3 linked regions of the Macaca mulatta genome follow. The main gene of each other region encodes a partner of the protein of the gene in region 3 in a complex. Links are inferred from orthologs where the notes say so. Each region holds a gene or a part of one and is shown on either strand. Other genes may lie near its edges.

The links.
Region 1: the proteins of putative trypsin-6 (region 3) and TMPRSS15 are in contact, whole or in part, in a cryo-EM structure (PDB 8ZIV), measured with the Homo sapiens proteins. The link is inferred for Macaca mulatta from reciprocal best matches to the Homo sapiens genes PRSS1 and TMPRSS15. Residues at the interface, in NP_002760.1 of Homo sapiens: Phe18, Asp19, Asp20, Asp22, Lys23, Ile24, Val25, Tyr45, His46, Phe47, Cys48, His63, Cys64, Tyr65, Lys66, Arg68, Ala91, Lys92, Arg95, His96, Arg101, Lys102, Leu104, Asn146, Tyr175, Phe188, Leu189, Glu190, Gly191, Gly192; in NP_001414986.1 of Homo sapiens: Tyr276, Thr277, Ile279, Trp297, Glu298, Leu316, Glu318, Asp320, Glu321, Ile369, Gln370, Ser372, Phe374, Pro376, Phe377, Ala389, Gly399, Pro400, Gly401, Gly402, Arg403, Glu405, Glu432, Asn433, Lys485, Ile486, Leu487, Val513, Pro514, Thr515.
Region 2: the proteins of putative trypsin-6 (region 3) and SPINK1 are in contact, whole or in part, in a crystal structure (PDB 7QE9), measured with the Homo sapiens proteins. The link is inferred for Macaca mulatta from reciprocal best matches to the Homo sapiens genes PRSS1 and SPINK1. Residues at the interface, in NP_002760.1 of Homo sapiens: Tyr45, His46, Phe47, Cys48, His63, Cys64, Lys66, Arg101, Lys102, Thr103, Leu104, Tyr154, Tyr175, Lys178, Asp194, Ser195, Cys196, Gln197, Gly198, Asp199, Val214, Ser215, Trp216, Gly217, Asp218, Gly219, Gly227; in NP_001341895.1 of Homo sapiens: Tyr33, Glu35, Leu36, Asn37, Gly38, Cys39, Thr40, Lys41, Ile42, Tyr43, Asp44, Pro45, Pro55, Asn56, Val59, Phe62.

Annotation. Positions count from the first base shown.
Region 1 is NC_133408.1:29,315,045-29,321,833, reverse strand, and holds part of TMPRSS15 (enteropeptidase), read right to left. Parts: intron 2,220-6,789; coding exon 2,089-2,219; intron 1,826-2,088; coding exon 1,758-1,825; intron 1-1,757. UniProt on the Homo sapiens protein: Responsible for initiating activation of pancreatic proteolytic proenzymes (trypsin, chymotrypsin and carboxypeptidase A).
Region 2 is NC_133411.1:156,707,298-156,714,859, reverse strand, and holds the start of SPINK1 (serine protease inhibitor Kazal-type 1), read left to right. Parts: upstream 1-2,778; 5' UTR 2,779-3,002; coding exon 3,003-3,057; intron 3,058-4,770; coding exon 4,771-4,802; intron 4,803-6,287; coding exon 6,288-6,394; intron 6,395-7,562. UniProt on the Homo sapiens protein: Serine protease inhibitor which exhibits anti-trypsin activity. In the pancreas, protects against trypsin-catalyzed premature activation of zymogens.
Region 3 is NC_133408.1:182,661,883-182,669,333, forward strand, and holds putative trypsin-6, read left to right. Parts: upstream 1-3,469; 5' UTR 3,470-3,588; coding exon 3,589-3,628; intron 3,629-4,653; coding exon 4,654-4,813; intron 4,814-5,865; coding exon 5,866-6,122; intron 6,123-6,523; coding exon 6,524-6,660; intron 6,661-6,956; coding exon 6,957-7,109; 3' UTR 7,110-7,164; downstream 7,165-7,451. UniProt on the Homo sapiens protein: Has activity against the synthetic substrates Boc-Phe-Ser-Arg-Mec, Boc-Leu-Thr-Arg-Mec, Boc-Gln-Ala-Arg-Mec and Boc-Val-Pro-Arg-Mec. The single-chain form is more active than the two-chain form against all of these substrates.

The sequences.
Region 1 (6,789 bases), about 150 Mb from region 3:
ATTGCCATCAGTCTAGCTTACTTAGATGTTTGACTGGCATAAGTCATGCTTCTCCATGCTCATCTTGGCTTTCATCGTTTGTTCTCCTTCCTGTTCCAGGTTTACTGTCATCCTTCCTATTTCTGTAGAAAAAGAGAAGTTTCCTGTTCCATCGCACCTTGAGTCCACCCATCTATGGTGAAAAGCAAACCCCGCCTCCCTAGAAGTTGTTCTATTCTTTGGGTTCTGCTACTCCAACATTCTCATTTGGAAGGAGAGCATATGCTGAATCAGTACAACAAAACCCCATTCAAATACATTCCCCAGCACCTACTGTGTGATTTGAGGCAAGTTAGTTTTTTTCCAAGCCTCGGTGTCATTATTTATTTAAGTTGGAATAATTGTTTCTCCCTCACAGTCATTTGGTGAGGAATGAAGAAGAAAATACATTTTACGGCCGGGCGCTGCAGCTCACACCTGTAATTCCAGCACTTTGGGAGGCCAAGGCGGGTGGATCACGAGGTCAGGAGATCGAGACCATCCTGGCTAACACGGTGAAACCCTGACTCTACTAAAAATATAAAACATTAGCCGGGCGTGGTGGCGGCGCCTGTAGTCCCAGCTACTGGGGAGGCTGAGGCAGGAGAATGGCGGGAACCCGGGAGGCGGAGCTTGCAGTGAGCTGAGATCCCGCCACTGCACTCCAGCCTGGGCGACAGAGCGAAACTCTGTCTAAAAAAAAAAAAAAAATTACTTAAGTCGCCAAAGGCTTGGCCTGAAATAGAGACTCAACCAGTGAGTTTCTTTTTTGTCAGCTTGTCATAGGATCTGCGTTTTCCCCAAGGCTCTGTAATATTGTCTTTCTTTCTGTGCTTTTTAAATGTGAATTATTGTGAAGACTTTGCTCCCTTCCCTTCTTCAGATACCCCTGTTCTTGATCAATATTTAACTTTTTTTTTTCTTGGAATTCTCTCCCTTTGTCTTTTTCATTTTTAACTTAATTTTATAAATTTACATTTTTCTTTCTTTTATAATTTTTTTTAACTTTCCTGTTGGCTTGTATCTCTACTCAAGAAGCCTACTGGTAGTTTGTAGCTTAGAAAACTTTAGGTTCAGAGAGATGTTGGCAAGATTGTCAAACTCTCCTTCATGATACAATAGCAACAACAACACACAGATCAATTTTCTTTGTGAGAAATACAAAAGGTAATTGTCGAGAAAATAGATCTTACAATAGAAATAAGAAAATAGTTCTTACAAAAATTTCCATATATTACAGATTCAAACATTCATAGTGTGGAATTACATCATTACATTATTAATGTAAGATTCATTAGTTTATTGAGCACCAACTTTAAGCAATGTTACACCCTCTGGGTACAAAAGTGAACAAGTATCTTCTCTCTTTGTATTTATAGTATAAATGAAGCAGCGTGATACAATATTATTTTATTAAATGAAGAGCAAGCTTTTTCCAAATGTTTGTAGCAAATCAAACACTATATCTGCATCTGCATACATTTAACCTCAGCCCTCTCCATGTGTCTCTGCAAGATGTTATTGTCAAGAGAAACATATTAACATAAGATCTATTTTCAAAAGTTATTATTATTTGCTACTAAAATGAAAGTTTATGCTATGCCACTTTGCTTAATCCTCAAAAAATGTTGAAAAATTTAAATATTCCTCTTTTCCTATGTATAGTGATGCTATTTTACAAATATTAGCAAAAAGATCCCTAATTTTCTGTCAGTAGAAAATTTTTGAGCTGTACTCACTCAAATTGTAAAACTCTTGAGTTCTTATATTCATTCTTCAGATTGCTTGATAGAAAGATCTCATCTATCTAGAAAAATGTAAAAGGTTGAATGAGTATACTAAATTTAAGATTTTAACTTTTGTTGAAAAATTTATGCAAAGCAATCTTTATGCTCTGCTTAGAATTGGGGGAATTTTCTCCATAGTAATGGGGCTCAGACATTTAAGTATTTTGGGTATATTACATTTATTCTCTAGTTGTTTCACAGTGACAAAATGGTGTTTTTGGCAAGTAGTTAGTTAAACTATGTTATAAAATTTTAAACCAGCTGAAGAGAGACAGTCTCCTACCATTTGCTGAAGGTCAAAAGCAAGAACTTTGAAATCCGCTGAGAGTTTGTCTTGCAAGTTAGGATTATATGTAACTCCGGATGTTATTTTAAATGTCCCTCTGACTTCATGACTTTGTCCAAGTGCTGCACCTAGATAAATTAATAAGGAAAAAAACACTAAGATTTTGGATTATGAGTAGGAAAAATATGCACATTCTGTTAAGACACAGAAGTAAAGCTCTTGCTTGATGTGTTAGCTCTGTAGTTCTTGCTTTTTCTTTGTAGTCTCATGTTTCAAAATCAGCTGCTTTCTGTCCCCAGCTGTCTGATTGTTTTAAAAGATTGGAAACTAAAGTTTTTTTCCATTCTTTCAATATTTTTTTTCTTTTCTTTGAAGTCTAACCCACACTCCAAGCTTCCAAGTTTTCATTATTATTGTTATTGAGATTCCTGTTGGAAGATACACGGACTGATGAACTCCCACCAATTATGGGAAGTGACTCAGGGAAACATGGTGAGAAGTGAACCATTAAAAGTTTTGTAGTTGCTTTCAGATACTTCTTGAACACCTAGCATCCAGGGACACCACTGGGTTTTGACATATGAATTGCTGTGAAGATTTCAGTATTTTGGTTACTTTGAAACATGACTTTGAAGCTACTTCTTTCATTCTAATAATTATAAAAATGTCATGCATGACCTTGTGCCATTAGCTGGTGACTGTCCTTGTTGAAGACGTTATTTAGAATGTGTAGAAAATAGATAACCTCACTAGGAAAAAAAATGTAAAAAAGAAGGTTAACAAATTAAATATAAACATGGATAATAAAATGTGTCATTAAGTCCTGCATAATTCCTTTATCAGCATATTTTCATGGACACTGATTTATGTTTAAAATGAATTGCTTCAACTGAAACTCACACAGTGATGAACTCATTAGTAAATATAATAATAATGACATATAATTCTCACAATAATTTGGTGTGACAAGACATTATTTCTTCTTTTCTGGGATAGGGTAATTGGTGTTTAGAATGATTAAGAAAATTTCTCAAGGTAGTAAATGTCTGAAGCAACAGATCTGGAATTTGGTCATCGAAATGATTGACTCCACAACCCAAGATCTCTATGTAATACATTCACACCAAACTATCCCATTAAGAGGATAATTAGAAATAATAATTCAAGCAGTATGTGTGCATATAGTCTAAATAACGTTAACTGCATTATTGATGTAACGTATTATTTATACTATTTCATTTGTATTTTAAAGACTCTAAATTAGATTGAAGTTTGCATGTTTAAATGCAGAATACAAGGAAGGACCGAGGAACTACAACCGATTAAAGGAGACTAAGGAAGCGTAATAACTAAATCTTACATAGGAATCTGCACTGGATCTTAACCTGGTAAAGGGTATTAGTGGAAAAACTGGTGAAATTTGAATAAAGTATGTGGTTCAGTTAACAATATTGTAGAAATGTTAATTTCTTGACTGTGGTAATTGTACTATGGATAAACAAAATATTAACATCCAAGGCAGCTGGGTTATATGAAAATTCTGTGCAATTTTTTCAACTTTTAAAAGTCTAAAGTGATGTCAAAAAAAGTATAAAAAATGTTAAAAGTAGTATGTGCTTTGAAAGCCCTAAAGACATCTGCAAAAAGGCTCCTGAAACTGATAAATGACTTCAGCAAAGTGTCAGGATACAGAATAAATGTACAATGTCAGTTGTATTTCTAAACACCAATTACATTCAAGCTGAGAACCAAATCAAGAATTTAATACCATTTTCGATAGTCATACAAAAGATAAAATACTTATGAATATCTCTCACCAAGGGTATAAAAGAGACCTGCAAGGAGAACTACGAAACACTGCTATAAAAATCAGATAACACAAACAAATGGAAATACTTCCATGCCAATGGACTGGAAGAATCAATGTTGTTAAAATGGCCATACTGCCCAAAGCAACCTACAGATTCAATGCTATTCCTATTAAACTATCAAACTCATTTTTCATAGAATCATAACAAATGATTCTAAAATTCATATGGAACTATGAAAGAGCCAGAATAGTCAAAGCAATCCTAGGCAAAAAACACAAAGTCAGAGGCATCACATTACACAACTTCATGCTATACGATAAGGCTATAGTAACTAAAACAGCATGGCAGTGGTACAAATACAGACACATAGTCTGCATCACATTACACAACTTCATGCTATACGATAAGGCTATAGTAACTAAAACAGCATGGTAGTGGTACAAATACAGACACATAGTCCAATAGAGCAGAATAGAGAACCCACAGTAAAGTGAAGCTACACACCTACAGTCATCTAATCTTTGACAAAGTTGACAAAAATAAACAATGAGGAAATAGTTAATAAACAGTGCTGGTATATCTGGCTGGCTATATGCAGAAGAATCAAACTGGACCCCTACCTTTCACCATATATAAAAATTAACTCCAGATAAATTAAAGATTTAAATTAAGACCTCAAACTCTAACAATCCTAGAGGAAAAAAAAGTAAAACATAATTCTGGAAATTATCCCTGGCAGACAGTTTAGGACTAAATCCTCAAAAGCAGTTGCAACGAAACCAAAAATTGGCAAGTGGGACCTAATTAAACTAAAGATCTTCTGCACAGCAAAATAAACTATCAGGAAAGTAAATATACAACCTATGGAATGGGAGGAAATACTTGCAAACTATGCATCTGAAAAAGGTCTAATATCCAGAATCTATAAGGAACTTAAATAATTGAACAAACAAAAAACAAACCCATTAAAAAGTGGGCAAAAAACATGAACAAGCACTTCTCAAAAAAGACATACGAGTGGCCAACAGATATTTTTTAAAATACTCATCAGCACTAATCACCAGAGAAGTGTAAATCAAAACCACAATGAGATACCATGTCATACTGGTCACCAATGGCTATTACCAAAGAGTTAAAAAACAAGAGATGTTGGCAAGGCTTTCAGAGAAACAGGAACACTTACACACTGTTGATAGAAATGTAAAGTAGTTCAGTCACTGTGCAAAGCAATTTGGCTATTTCTCAAACAACTTAAAACAGAAATACCATTTGACCCAGCAATCCCATTACTGGGTATATATCCGAAAGAAAATAAGTCATTCTACCCAAGAGACACATGCACTCACATGTTCATCACAGCACTGTTTACAATAGCAAAGTCATGGACTCAACCTAGGTGCCCATCAACGGTGTATTGGATAAAGAAAATGTGGTACATATACATTGTGGAATAAGATGCAGCCATAAAAAAGAATGAACTCATGTCCTTTACAGCAACATGGATGCAGCTAGAGGCCATTATCCTAAGCAAATTAATGCAGGAACAGAAAAAGCAAATACCACCTGTTCTCAAGCATAAGTGGGAGCTAAACAGCAGGAACTCATGGACATAAAGATGGCAACAATAGACACTGGGGACTACCAGAAGTGGAGAGTGGGAAAGGGGAAAGGGTTGACAAACTAACTTCTGGGTACTATGCTCAGTACCTGGGTGATGGCATCGTTCATTCCCCAAACCTCAACACATGCAATATACCCAGGTAACAAATCTGCACATGTGCCCCCTGAATCTAAAATAATAGTTTAAAAAGGAAAAAATAGTAGTATGCGTTATGATCTCTGGTGTGTTGGTAAAGCATTAACTTGCCCTTTTTATATTTAGTTGTTCACTGTTAAATTGTATTATCACCTATACATATTTATTTTCTACTTCCCTTGTAAAATAACTAACCTTCATATGTTTATTGAACATCAGGGATTCCAATGGACTTTCAAATGCTTATAGATCCTTCAAGTTATTCACAGCAATTAAATAAGACCCAAACAGCCATTTTTCTAAAAGTTTAATCAATATGTATTATCTGGTAGTACTTTGTATAATTTTGTAAAATATCCACACTTTTTTTTTCTTTAAAATATAGCCCTTGTGTATGTCTATAGTTTTTAAATAGACCAGGATTATACTAAAATTATTTAATAAAACTATGGCATGTGCATTACATTCTAATTTAAACTTATTTGTTTACTAGAATAAAATAGCTAACCCAACAATTGTGAATTTAATAGGTAAAACTAAAATCACTCACATGTGAAAGATACGGTGGCTCACGTCTATAATCCCAGCACTTTGGGAGGCCGAGGTGGGCAGATCCAAAGTCGAGAGACCGAGACCATCCTGGCCAACAAGGTGAAACCCCACCTCTACTAAAAATACAAAAATTAACTGGGTGTGATGGCATGCACCTGTAGTCCTAGCTACTAGCAAGACTGAGGCAGGAGAATCACTTGAACCTGGGAGGTGGAGATTGCAGTGAACCACTGCACTCCAGCCTGGTGAAAAAGTGAGACTCCATCTCAAAAAAAAAAAAAAAAAAAAGAGAGAGAGAGAGAGAATTTATATGCCCATATGTATGTATATAGTTTATCATTTTAAAAATGTAAAAAATTGTCTAAGAACAAATAAACTGCTAATACATAGATTATTGCTATGCATCCAATTTTTTAAAAAATTTACCCTATAAATGAGTAAGTGGTAAGATGGACTACAAATTCTAGAGCTGGATTGTCTAGTTTGGAATCTTACTTCTGCTACCCACTAATGATGTGAACTTAAGCAAGTTACCTCTAGTCTCTGTCTCAGATTCCTCATCTGTAAAACAAGCATACC
Region 2 (7,562 bases), on a different chromosome or scaffold from region 3:
GTGGTTATTGGAAGTTTCTTACTCGCCACAAAACTACTATTTAAATAATGATTTGAGATGAAAAGAACAAATATATTTTCATCCCAAATCAAATCAAATATGATTCAACCAATATCTATCAATGCTAAGACTAAACTCCATGAGGGCAGACATCATATCCATTTCCCCAGCACTCAGCCAAAAGTTTTTGTATAGTAAGGACTTGATGGATATTTGAATATACTAATAGTTGAAGGAATAAAAGGCCTGATGATGAGCCAATGAATGGCTACTCAACTGGAGGCACTGGAGACACAGAAATGAACAAGGCATAAACCTTGGTCTTCAGAAGTATATACATTTATCTCTTAATTTATGTTTTTAGGAAATATTTATTTAGTGTCTACTATTTTCCAGACACTTTATTAAGTGCTACAATAAATAAAGCAGCTGTATTTGCTCTCTAAAAATAAAGAGATATTACATAATAATCATACAAATAGCTGTAGAGTTGGAATTATTTTAAGTGCAATGAAGGGTTTTATGAAATCATACAATAGGAGGCATTAATCTAGATGCAGAAAGAAGTAAAGGAAGACCCAGAAAGAATGGCTTAATGAGAAAATACCTACCACTTAACCTTTTAACCTTAGAGGGTGCAAAGCTGTTTTGTTTTGTTTTCTTGGCCCTAGCAAAGGGTAACAGAGAAATGACCAAAGTAGCAAGGAAATAACCGGATTGAGCAAGGAAGAACCTCTTGGGGAATAAAGATAGAAAGGAGCCAAGTCATGCAGAACCTAAATTCTTCCTGAGCATTCTGAACAATGAGAAACTGGACAGAGACATTATCAAATTTGCAGTCCATAAACATCCCTTGACTGTTCCATGGGCAGCAACTTTAAGGAAGAAATAACAACAAATATTGAGAAACTCTTTGCAGGAAATGCAGAAACCCAGGGGGGAAATGATGGCGTTGTCTTAGATATGACAGTGGAAGCTAATGAGAAGTGTCCGGGGTTGAGGTTATTTTGAACACGAATCCAAGAAGAGAACTTAGTAGCAAATTAAGTGTGGAAGATGATGCATAGAAAGGGGAAAGGGAAATATCAGGGAGAACAATGAGGTTTGGGCTTGAGTGATCTACTGGAAAGAAAAGAAGCTGTAGGGAGAATAGAGACAAAAATACTGTGGTGAAAGATCAAAATAGTAGTATGGGACATATTAGATTTGAAGTAGCTGTAAAACATCCAAATAGTGATGTCAAGAACTAAACACTTCCAAAGCTTCCCTTTGATAAAAACCAAAGTCCTTACTCTAGCCTACACTAGATCTAGACCCTCACTGCTTCCTTTATTTCATCTCCCATTCTGCCCTCTATCACTTTGCTGGAAGCCAGACTGTCCTCCTGGATGTTTCTCAAACATGTCAAACCAACGTCAGCCTCACAGCCTTTGCACTTACTATTCTCTCTGTCTGGAATGCACATCCTTGGAATAATTACATAGTTCAAATCCTCATTTCCTTCATGTCTCTGTTTGATATCACCTGAAAAGCAAGACTTCTTCTGATTATGCTATAATACATATCTCCTTAACCCTCCAGCACCCTTATCCTTCCTATCCATTTCTCCATAATAGATATCTGATATATTTTATAATCATTTATTATTTTTTGTCACCTGCCTCCCTCAACAAAAATGCAATGGAAGCTCCATGAAGACAGAGATTGTTATTTTTATTTACTGATCTGTCTCGAGAGATAAATACAGTTCTTGTCATGACTTGGAAAGGGTTTGAGATTTTATCTTACTTGGAAGCTAAGAAGTTAACCTGCCACATTATAATGGTTTCTGGCAGAAGGCACAGACTCCTGGCTCAGAGATAAGGGACTTAATTATTCCATAGCAACAGCCAGAGTGTTGGAATTTGTTCTGGTTTCCCAAGCCCCAATTTCCACAGGCCAATGTAAGGCACATCAAGTGATACTTGCAGCGAAAGTACAATGTGTTAAAGGAAAGCAAGGCCAAGCTTTTAAAAACCCGAAATCTTTTAAATAGGGCAATTAACATGATCTTTGCCCTAGAAGGAGATATTAACTTTATTACACTAAACAGTAAACAAACCTGACTTTTGATGCAGAGGGAGACATTACATATTTGCTAAGGTCATTTGCTATACAAACACCCTTAAAAAGATAGTCTGAAACAAAGGTTATCGGTACCTCTACTCATAAGACATGCAGAAACATGAGAGAGGATGGAGAATTCTCTTCCAACAACACATGGTAGATAACCAGCACATATTCTCAAATGAAAGAGTAACCCTTTGAGTTAGATGTTATTATTATTTTAATTTCCAGATGAATACACAGAAGCACAGCAAAAGTGACTCCAACAAGCACCCTCTACTCTAGAATACACGCTTTAGGGAACTGAGTCCTCTCTCTCTCTCTCTTGCTCTCTCTTTCCCTCTCATCTGCCACTCCATCAGCTACTCTAAGCTTTGTGAATGGGTGATAGAAAAATAGAGAAAAGAGAAAGAAGAATAAGAAATGAAGAGTGGAGGAAAGGAAGAAAGAATGGAGAGGTTTTATCCTACTTGGAATAAAATTCTTTCTAGTCGCTATCCATACCTGCTCATCTATCCAGACCTACAGAGTAGAAGGGATCTTTGGGTTTACCTTACAGGGGAGAAAACAGGCTTCAGAAGGGTATGACTTTCCCCCAACCATAGAGAGAGCGGGATCAAACTAACCACTAGAACTATTTTCCTGACAGAATGTTTGCCTTGCATGTTTCAGGCCCACCTGGCTCCTTTCACCTTTCTTACGCAGGTGACATTCCCAGAACCTGGAGGCCAGGCTACAACACAGAGTCAATCAATAACCAGGGAGATCTATGATATAGCCCAGTAGGTGGGGCCTTGCTGTCGTCTGCCATATGACCCTTCCAGTCCCAGGCTTCTGAAGAGACGTGGTAAGTGCAGTGCAGTTTTCAACTGACCTCTGGACGCAGAATTTCAGCCATGAAGGTAACAGGCATCTTTCTTCTCAGTGCCTTGGCCCTGTTGAGTCTATCTGGTAAGTGTTTTTGCATATTTTTCAAATTTAAATAAAATCATTTTGACCTGTTGCTTTGTGGAGCACATTATCTTCTAGACTTTTGATGTAGTCTAGTCTTCGAGAGATCTTTTGGACCTAGTGAGATGAAATAGAATCCACAGATAAGAATTATTTTTTAAGAGGGATTTTTAACTTACTACAAGGAAAACAATTCTGCTAGTAAGAACTGCCTAGAGATAAAATGGTTTTCCTCTATTGATGTGGCTGACACTTTGTTGGAATACGGTAGAGAAAAAAGGGTAAAAATATTTCAATTTTAACTATACTTCTAATTTTGTAAATGTGTAAGGCCAAATTACAATAATATATGTGATATAAAGGGGAGTTTTTATTTTCAGTTTCTGGTATTTCTTATTAGTATCTGGAAATACAAAAATTGCATTTTGTGTATTTACATTACACGTTTTGAATGTTTTGAAAGAAAACATTCTGCTTGAATAGATGGTGCACATATACCCCCAACTGCATCTTGACAATGTTAACAGACAACTCTGAACCCTCAGAGCCAAGATCAGTTTCCTTTTTATCATTGGAAATAGTTAACATTTTCAACTTCACCTCTCATGTAGCGACGGATCCTGTGGAGAGCCAAATCAGCACTTTGCTAAGAAGAGGAAGAATATTGTTTGTTGTATTCGCCGAATACTTATGGCAGCTGTCAGTGTTCCCTTTCCCCCTCCTCGTGCATGTTAATTAATACAAATAGATGCTTGTGATGAGCACCTGTTCATCAGTTTTTAGATTCAACTAGATTCTAAAAGCCAGTGGGCCCCCAACAACATCAAGTTCTGACTATCCTGGGGGAAATTCTCCAAGCTCTTAGATGCCTCGCTAATTTTCATTACATTTAGATACAAAGAACTACCTCTTTACCCAGATCACCTCAAAGATTGATGATATTAAAAATTAATTTTCACAAATATTTCCTTATTTGGATGCTATCAGATTAATCCCTTTCGCTTCCATGAACTCATCCACAGTTATCATTTTCTACATGTTGTCAGCAAAACCTATGCTATCTTCCGGGGAACGGAGATTAGCTATTTTGACTACCTGTAAATTCAATAAATGTGAGTTGGACCCATAGTCCATATGATGCAATTGTTGGAAATAGCTTTTTGGGAACTGATAGTGAGTTGGCAAAAGAGCTCTATTTTTTCAACATTACTTACAAAAGAGAATTTAAGTGTAATTGAAAAAGCTAATTTTGCATCAGAAGGCCTGGTTACTGCTTGTGATAACTGTTTCACAGCTTTTCATCTGTAAACAGATAGAAAGTATACTTCACTAATTGTGAGATTAAAGATCTAGTAACTGGTTTTGAGAATGTTTGTGAGGATTCAAAAGATAATTTGCTCAGTGCCTGATACATTTCCAGCAGTAAGTACATAATTTCTATTTTCAAGGAAATAGATCAACTTCCTAAAACATCAAATTGAGATACTTTGGTCATAATCAAAGTTTTACTTAATCTTTTTAAGGTTTTGCCAGGGAGGGGGTGCAGGAAAATCAGTCAGATACTTTTGGAGGATTATAGAAATCAGAAAGGGTAGGGAATGAAAGAGCCTAGTAAAGAAGTCATGGTCTGCAGTGAAAGCAGAGAATTCTGAGGAAGAATAGATCTGACTTCTCTCGTTTAGGACCCAACTTACCATATCTGATTATTTCCAGGTAACACTGGAGCTGACTCCCTGGGAAGAGAGGTAAAGAGATATTTGTAATTTCTTATTTCTCAGGCTGGAACAGTTTGATCCAACAAAAATGCAGCCTTGCTGTCACCTTTCAGTTGAGCCTGAAGTTAAGAGGAGTATGAATGCTAGGGAGGGTTAATGTGTGAAATGCAAACGGTAATAGTAGTTCCACCCCACAGGCATATATTGAAGGACAATTTCACTGATGTATAAGCAAGTTCTATATAGTCCTACAGTGCTTGCTGTGAAGGGGTTTTTATATAAACTAGTGATAGCTGTAAACAAGTATTTGGGGTGGAAGCCTTCTCAAGTTCACTCCAAGTAGCCCTTCCTCCTTACAGCCAGTTTGACCATGTTGGCATGCAGCTTCCCCAATGACCAAGGTGTGGCTCTAATTTATAATGAACAACAGAAAACAATAAACTAGGTTCTTCTTCTAGAAAAATATTCTAACTCTAATCTTTTCATATTTTTTTGTTTAAAAGGTAATTTCAGTAAATTTGGAGACCAGAGGAAGAAGTGTCCCTCTTCTCAGTACATTTATATCTAGTCAGAGACAGCTAATAGACCAAAAGTTCATGAATGAACACATGATTACATTTGTGATAAGTGTTATGAAAAAGATATGCTGCCATTAAGAACTTAGCCTAGTTAGAGAGATCAGGGAGGGTGCTCCGAAGTAAGTGAGGGGTCATTTTGAGCCAAAAATAATAATAATAATAATAATAATGAGTGTTAGCAAAGCAAAACTGGTGGGGAGATGTAGTAGAATGAAGTAGTTAAGAGCTAAAGCTCAGGAACTCTGACTAGGTTTGAATTCTGAATTTAGGAATTCCTTAGCTAGGTGTCCTTGGCTAATTTTATTGCTTTGTGCCTCATTATCTTCACCTGAAGAAGAATATAATACTTAGTTCACAGGATAGTTAGGCGGTTTAAACAGAATAATATGTAAAAAGCACTAGGACAGTGTCTAGGACAATGCCAATCATTTGATGATTATAAACTCTTACTAGAGTAGAATGCAAAGACTTCCAACACTGGATGTTGGCTAGTGCCTTTAAGTGCCTAATAGAAGGCCAGTGTGTGTGGACTATAGTGTACAAGGAAGAACATACCTCAAGATGTGGCCAGCCTGAGAGATGCCAGCATCTGCAGTAACTGTAAACTTGAACATTATCTCACCCATCCGTGCAAACCTCACAACAACACTATGAGATAGGTGGGAAATGGTAATATCATCACCATTTTGCAGATGAACTGACTGAGTTTCAGAAGGGCCATAGGACTTACTAATGTCACACAGTTTAGAAATAGCAGAGGCATGACTTAAAACAAGGTTTTCTGTCTCGAGATCTTAGGTTATTTCTCTTACAACACACAGTATCGTTCTCCCAATCACAGTTGTGCCCCAGAGAAATTAAAACCATTTCAGAGATTTTGCTATGAACTCAAGAATGGAGAATAATGGGAAATGATTCTGTTTAATTCCATTTTTAGGCCAAATGTTACAATGAACTTACTGGATGCACCAAGATATATGACCCTGTCTGTGGGACTGATGGAAAAACTTATCCCAATGAATGTGTGCTATGTTTTGAAAATCAGTGAGTACAAACTTGAGTTTCTTTTAAACTATATATTTTAAGATAGTTATCTTCAAATATACTGATAATATGAATCTCACCCTGAGAGAAGCAAACTATTTACTTTTTCCAAAAACAGTTATCTCTTTCTTATTCTCCTTTTTATACATTTAGCATTATAATATTATTTTTAAAAAGTCACTTTTATGATAAAAGTCTACATTTTTACAGCAAAATAGTTGATAGATTGGATTTTTATTAATCTTATACACACAAAATACCTTTAATTAAAAAGAAATATTAGTGGTTGCAATGATTGTGTTTTTTAAAGCTCTCATTTATGCAAATATAAATTGTATAGATTATATAACCAAAAATGTATTTTTACTCATGGATATGAAAGCCAGTTTCAGTAAAGCTTCATTTTCTCAGTATCCATGAGTAAGAGATGGGATACAGAGAAACAGATTCGACACAAATTTCCTATCTCACTCAGCAACTGAAACCTTAGCATGTGTAAAGCATTATGCTAATATTCCTTGTCTTACTGGTGCTTATGACTAAGAAAACGTCATGAGCACATATAGGATGGCTTCTTATAATTTTGGGCAAATGCCAGAAGATGAGGTGTAAATAAAGTGCAACAGGAGTGAAGCAGGGATACATATTTTTTGTTATTAAAAGGGGCCAAGAAAGGATCCATGAAAAGAATAGAATGCCGGCCGGTGCCGTGGCTCACTCCTGTAATCCCAGCACTTCGGGAGGCCAAGGCAGGTAGATCACCTGAGGTCAGGAATTTGAGACCAGCCTGGCCAACATGGTGAAACCCCGTGGTGGTGGGCACCTGTAACCCCAGCTACTCAGGAGGCTGAGGCAGGAGAATCGCTTGAACCTGGGAGGCGGAGGTTGCAGTGAGCTGAGATTGTGCCACTGCACTCCAGCCTGGGTGACAAGAGTGAGACTCCATTAAAAAAAAAAAAAAAAAAAAGGAAAAAAAAAAAAGAATAGAATGCCATTTAAATAGAGCTCTGAATTTTGGCAATATCAAAAGAGCATGCCAGGTTAAATAAAGGTGTGGAATGAACAAAACAAATAAAAGGGGATTCCACGAGTGACTTTAGTTTTTCTGAGATTGACTTGATATTAAAGACTTTGACTCAGGCTCAAATGACTGTGTAAATTTCTATTA
Region 3 (7,451 bases):
AGTGGTATCATCTTCCACACCTGAACCAGTTTGTAGCCACCAGAGCCTGCTAGGAAGGGGCCCCTCAAGCATGCAGTGATCTTGTCACCTGGAATTTGAGAGATCAACAAGCCCCATAGCAACTGACCTTACACCTGCCCATCAGCGCCCATCCTTTCACGGGATTAGCTCAATTCTGGCTCTGCAGACACTGGCAGCCACAGGTGACAAATCCTGGGCCTCTGTGGGCTTCCCTCATCACCCAGGGCCACAATGGGCTGCCTGTCCTAGGCAGAGACACAGCAACATTTTCTTAGACTGAAATTAAGCATAAATTCCCTTCACCAATAATCCTCTGAGGGCACAATCCCTGCCTCCTTCCTTGGAGATTTTAAAACACATCTCTCTGACCAAACAGGTAGGTGAGATCTGACTTTAAATGGGGGAAAATCGGGATGAATAGGGGTATCAGGAATGAATCCCAAGTGTTTTTGTGTGGGACAGGCATCCACATCCCGAACTGTACCTGGAGATGGAGAAAAATGCGGGAGAGGAGGAGAGAAAAAAAGGGGGACAAAGTGGCTAAAAGTCATTGAAAGCTTCCCTTTTGGTTCTTTCCAGCTCTGGCTGCTTTGTCAAGATCTTAGGTGAAGGCAGGGTCAGCTCTGGCTGGGAGAGGCTGCTCTGGGAGATGGGAGAGTCACGTCACCTCCAGAAAGCTCATTTGATCATCTGTAAAATGGGGAATCCCATAGTTGGTTGTGAGGATAAAATGAAAAACACATTCTTAACTTGTATGAGTTACATGCTGTATAGTGAGTTACATGCTGTATATTAAGTTACATGCTATATAGTAAGCTCACAAAAATGATTCACTGTTATCATAATTGAAGGACAGTGGTTTGGTGTGCTAAGCACTAAATACAAGCCAGAAAGATGTCTTAGAGAAGCAGACAAAGAAAACTGTAGCTCAGAATGAACAGTAGCAAGAATGGCATGTCCTCCAAATTGAGCTCGGGCAGCTGAATCTGAACCTGTCCTACACATGCGAGTCTACGGTATGAGGTAACAGTCTCCACCTATAGCTATGTTCTCTGCCTATAAGGTCATTCATTTTTGAACAAAGCTGACCTCAGACTATACTGTGATCATTTAAGGAAGAGTGTAAAATACTGGAGAAGTCTAGTCTTCAAGCACTAGATACAGAAATCCTCATATTCTGGGGTGTTGCCTTTCAGACAGAGAGTGAGAGCCACAAGCACTGATCCAAAAATCCCCTTTTCCAAACACATTTTCCATCTTCTACCAAGGTTCACCTCCCTGTTTAGTGCACACTGGTGTCTACAGTTGCTACAGCAAGAGTCTCTCCTTATCCTCCAAGGCAGGAGTTCTGTGAAGACCCCATGACAAGGGGACAAAATGAAACATGTTTAGGGACAACACAGGAAAAACCCATATTATCAATGCTCCAAAACCTGGATACCTCAGACTTGGCCAGTTATGTGTGAGCAGAGAAGTGTGTCATCTACATGGAAGTCATGGCCTAGATGGGTCTGGAACGGTGGCAAGATAAGGCTGTAAGACAAAGTGCCAGGAGAAAGATCAATTCAATCATCTATTTCTGCCAGGAAGAAAAGACCAGGAAGGAATCAAATGTACCGTTTGTCCTCTGGGGACCTATGTCTTGATCCCCAATGAATCTCCTTTTAGATGCCACCTGCAGCAATTCCCATACTTCACAACGCTCTCCATGGCTTCCGTTGGCCTTATGGTCAGCTCTGCCAAGATCTGTATTCTTGGGAAAGACCGAATCCCTCTGAATCTCATTGTCTTCCTCTATAAATGGAAATAATTTTGTTCCACACAAATCACAATTAGCATGTTTGTGGGAAGTTAAACTGTGAACCTCAGCATAAACGAAAAGCTATGCACCACTCTTGCTTATTTAAAAACGTGTAAAGCTGTCAGACACCATACACCATCCAAGTACAGCAGCGTTAGGTTTGAGCCCAACAGTGATTAGACAGGGTACGGGGTGAAGAGGGTGTCTCAGAGCAGTGGGTCTCCTGGCTGTCGGGAAGCTGGATCGGTGGCCATGCCGGGAGTTGAACCCGAAGGTACTCTGTGTGCCCTCTCAACTCCACGGGCCCCACTTTGGCAATTTTTCTGATTCCCTCTGGTTTCCATTTGCTTCCTCCCTCTAGCGCCTGGTCATGTCAAATTTCACCACCAAGTTTCTGAGCTTTTCTGATTTTGTTCATCGTCTTCAGAACACTGCTGCTTCTTTTACCTTTCAAAGAATTCGAACTTGAACTCTGCTCACTCCTGCCCATCACCAGCCAAACTCAGAGTTGCTGAGAAGGGAAAGCACCCTCATAAGCAAGCTCCTCCTTTCTTTACATCACTAGACCTGAGTACAGACAGCATCTCCATCTCCACACTGCTCTGGCCAGGTTATGCCTCAATCAATTACACAACTGTGTCTTAGTAGCATTGGTAGGGCCCAAATCAGGATATTCTCTGGGAAGATTCACTTTGTACTGAGCACAGCATAATCTCACTGCATCGAAAATAGAAAATTCTAGACCCACCCCTCCACATCTTCGTTATTGAACCCAATATGTGACCCATTTACCATGTGCTAAAATCTCCACCTCTGCTGATTCTCAGATCAGATCAGATCCCAGATTTACCATGGTCCAAACTCTGACATCTGATCGGGGGCATGTTATTCTGGTTCAGGTTGTCAGTCCTGAGCAGGTGGGTCAGTTTGCATCACCCTGAGTGCCAATTGCCAGGGCACTGTGAGGCTGCATAAAAAATACCTATGACAGGGTACATATGAGACAGACAAATGTCTTCACATTGAAGAAGGGGAGGAGTACACCATTGATCTTCCATGCTCCAGAGGCACTGAGTAAGTTCCTACCTAAACTGTGCCCTTCCTTCTTTGAAACACTTCCCATCCTTAAGCCTTCATAGGAAGGAGAGCCATCTGGAAGCCCAGAATCCTATGGGATGCTGAGTCCCCCTTCTCCTTACCCCTTAGTTTTGGAATTCTTATTCCCCAAAGCCTTAGATTTAACCGTGCCACATGCTGACTGGAGAGATGCATCTTCATATTCACAGAAACGAGCCTTAGATACGACTTTGCTCCTCTCATGGGGGCTTCAGGACACTGAAAAGCAAAGCTTGTTACCAACGCTTGCCCTTCCTTAAGTACATTAAATACATCCCCAATAGTTTAAACGATTCCTAACAGCCAGGCCATTCTCCCTCCTTCTAACCCTCACCTCCTCGGCCTGAGAAATCACAGCTGTGTGATTGGGGGCTTGATTTTCCCTGTCTTCCCCATCCCAGAATCCTTGCAGGAAACAGCCAGTCTCCCTCTCTGCTCTCTGAAGGCAAGTTCCCTTATCACCTGTGAATCACAAACCCACAGAGTGGCCAAACATAGCTGAGCTGATGCAAGACCCTGGGAAGGGGAAAGCTGCAGGTTTGTTGGTCCTGCGAGGAGCAGTGACCCTCACCTCACAGACACTTCCTCTCCCAATCCTCGGGAGGTATAAAGACTGGTCCTCCACCACCAGTCAGGGACACTCTACCACCATGAATCCACTCCTGATCCTTGCCTTTGTGGGAGCGGCTGGTGAGTTTCATGCCCTGCCTCAGGCCCCAACCACCCCTCCTGGCAGACACATGCCCTTCCATTCTTGCCACCTCTCCTCTTTTGACTGTGCTCTGATATTCTATTTCCTCCATCTGGCATCTTTACTTCCCATCCTCCCTGGGCTCTCTTTAAGCCTCACCTCTTTCACCTTCTCCCTGATTTCACTCCCACCACTACAATTCATCCATATACGAGCTGTGGTTGGAGATGCTGGGAAGGGAGACCAGGTGGGGTGGGCCCACGAAATAAAGCAGCAGGCTTCAGGCTTGGCTCCCACAGCACCAGAATACCTCCACTATAGCTGCTGTTAACCTCAAATGCACCTGGGGAGGTGGAAAAATTACTCATGCCAGAGACTCAACTCTAGAAATTCTCACTTCATTTGTCTGGGGTGCAGCCTGTGTTCTGGGCTTTTAAGCTTCCCAGGTGATTTTTAACATTTCTAGACATGCAGCCAAGGTTAAGAATTGCTGTTCTTTTGGACAATAATAACGTCTACCTTTGTTCTGCCGAAGTGAGCCCGGGGCATCCCTCAATTCTGCCTTCACTACACAGATCTGGGCTGTGGGGGAAGCTGGTCATGGCCAGGTCTACACAGCCAGCGGTTTTCCTAGCTTGGCCAAAGTATCCTGACCATCCAGGGCTTAAACAGCCAGGTGGAGTACACAGGTGGTGAATAAAAGAGAGAAGCATTCAGTGGGTGAGACAGACACATCCCAACTCCTATCCCACTGGAAGCATTGTGAGGACATTCCTTGCATCCTCAGCCTGGTGACCCCAGGAGAGATCTGAACACCTGCAGGGTACCTAGCTATGCACCCTGCAGACACAGAGACTTGGGAGCCACATCCAGTGATGCTCACCAGGGGTGCCAGCGCTCCCTCCCTTGCCTAGCCTCACTGAGCTTCTTAAGGATTTCTAATTAGCAGAAAGCAACTGCAGGCTGGGAGCACCACCCCTAACATGCAACTGACTTGCCTTCTCCCTTCCCATCTCCACTCCAGTTGCTGCCCCCTTTGACGATGATGACAAGATCGTTGGAGGCTACACCTGTGAGGAGAATTCTGTCCCCTACCAGGTGTCCCTGAATTATGGCTACCACTTCTGTGGTGGCTCCCTCATTAACAAACAGTGGGTGGTGTCAGCAGCTCACTGCTACAAGCCGTAAGTGTGGGGTCCCTGACTGCAAAGCTCCCAGCCAGGTTGCCTGGGCGAGCTTGGCTTTAGCCCACGGAATCACTGAGGTGGGTAAGATGGACGGGAGAGGTAGTGAAAAAGAAAACCTGTTGGCAGTAGCTGACTCTTCAGAGCAGAGAGTGAACACAAGACAGGAACCTCTCACACCCAGGCAAATCCATGAAACAGCAAGGGTTGTGGTCATAAAAGCAGGCAGGGATGATCTTGGATGGACTGAGCTTGTGAGAAAAGCAGGCAAGTACTTTTGCTGGTTAGCTACACAATAAAGCCACCTAGGAAAGAGTTTTTAAAAATACTGATGCCTGTGTCCTATCTCAGGGCAATTAACTCAAAATTTTCAGGAAGAGGGTGTGAATATCAGTGAGTATTTCACACTCTACCTCTGGTAACTATAGAATCTATAGACAGAGCTGAGAACTGCCGCCTCCGCCAAGAACTCTCAAACCTGAGTAGGCATCAGAACCACCTGCAGGCTTGTTAAGGCACAAATCACTGGGTCCCATCCCCAAGGTTCTGATCAGTAGGTGGGAGTAAGGCCCAAGAATTTACATTTCTAACAAGTTTCCAGGAGATGCTAATGCTGTGGCTACCCTTGGATTAGATTACACAGAAGGGTGGTGCTCACCAGGCCAAGAAGGGAGGGAGGAACAGGCACTGTGCACAGTTAGCAAAGGCCTGGGGTGAAGAACGCTGGGAAAACTACAAGGAGCTCTTTGTGCCCACAGTGCTGGTGACTGTGGAAATTGTGGGAAAGAGGCTGGGAAGGCGGGATGAGGAGCAGCCTCTGGTGCATCCCTTTGACTCTTCCGCACCCCACTAACGACCTCTGAAGCAGAAAGGTCCTGGGTCTCACACCTGCACTGACCCACATCCCTCTCCTGCCCATGTGATATGACCACATACTCCACCCCATGGCTCCAGAGCTGTCCATGAGCAGGGAGCTTAAGGACCCTGGGGATGGTGGGATGGGTACCCCAGCAGTGGAGGAAGGTCTTCACCACGCCTGCCCTGCCCATCAGCCGCATCCAGGTGAGACTGGGAGAGCATAACATCGAAGTCCTGGAGGGGACTGAGCAATTCATCAATGCAGCCAAGATCATCCCGCACCCCAAATACAACGAGGTTAAGAAATATAACAATGACATCATGCTGATCAAGCTTTCCACACCTGCTGTCATCAATGCCCGTGTGTCCACCATCTCTCTGCCCACTGCCCCTCCAGCTCCTGGCACTGTGTGCCTCATCTCTGGCTGGGGCAACACTCTGAGCTCTGGCGGTGAGTGGGACCCTTTGTCTTTCTACTTCCCTCCATCCTCCCAATTTCCAGAATGAAGCATATCCCTTAACTTGAATCCTCTCGCCCCCAGGCTTAAGACACATTTCCAGTGCCCATTATACACAGGCTCTGGACTGAACATGAGAGAGATGCAAAGTCTAAGGACTTGGCTCCTAATTCAAAAGACAGGACAAATGGAGAACTTGCCCTGATCACATTTTGGGAGGGGTTCAACAATGATCATTCTGGGAACTAAAAGCCAGAGTCCCTTGTCAGGACTTATGTTTTGGAGCCCTCTCCAGGGGCAGTGTTCCTCTTCAATGTTCCAACCTAGATTATTGTCTCCTTCTCTGGCCTAACCCACATTTCTACTTTCTTTGATCTCTTCCTGATCCTCACAGCCGACTACCCAGATGAGCTGAAGTGCCTGGACGCTCCTGTGCTGACCCAGGCTGAGTGTGAAGCCTCCTACCCTGGAAAGATTACCAGTAACATGTTCTGTGTGGGCTTCCTTGAGGGAGGCAAGGATTCCTGCCAGGTGATTTGAACAACCCTTCCCATTCTGAAGCTCCCACTGATACCCAGGCCCCATCTTGGAAAAAGATTTCAACTCCCAAGGTGGTGGGGCTGAGGAGGCTCCCTGTAGTATCCCCATGGAGAAGTGAGGAAGGCTCCCTTGGGCTGCATGCTGTCTGCTTAGGGACAGAGAATGGGCCACTGTGAGAAGGACGTGGAGCCACAGAGCTGCCTGAAAGGGGTCTTTTAAGGTTCAGAGTAAATATAGCTATATTCCTCCTCCATCTCTCCATACAACTTGTCCCTTCTTCTCCCTAGGGCGACTCTGGTGGACCTGTGGTCTACAACGGACAGCTCCAAGGAGTTGTGTCCTGGGGCTATGGCTGTGCCCAGAAGAACAGGCCTGGAGTCTACACCAAGGTCTACAACTATTTGGCCTGGATTAAGGACACCATAGCTGCCAACAGCTAAACCCCCTGTCCCGCTGCAGTCTCTATACCAGTAAAGTGACCCTGTTCTAACTGTGTCTGTGCCTGCTCCCTCACACTCCTTCACACTGGAAAGCATCCTCCAATCTCAGGTCAGATTGGGGTGCCCCCCTTAAAGGTAAGCAGAGCCCCCAGCTCCCAAAATGTGTTGCATGGTACACTAGATTAGCACATACAAGGACATGGAATCCAAAAATAGTAAGAAGTTTGGGAGAAAAGGGGGTACTCTTTTCTAGAGAAACGTGTGTTTGGAAAGGTGGTCTTTTGGTGGAGAGGTTGATTTTTATTTGGGCTTCTCACAGTGGTTGGAGCTACTCTGCCTTCA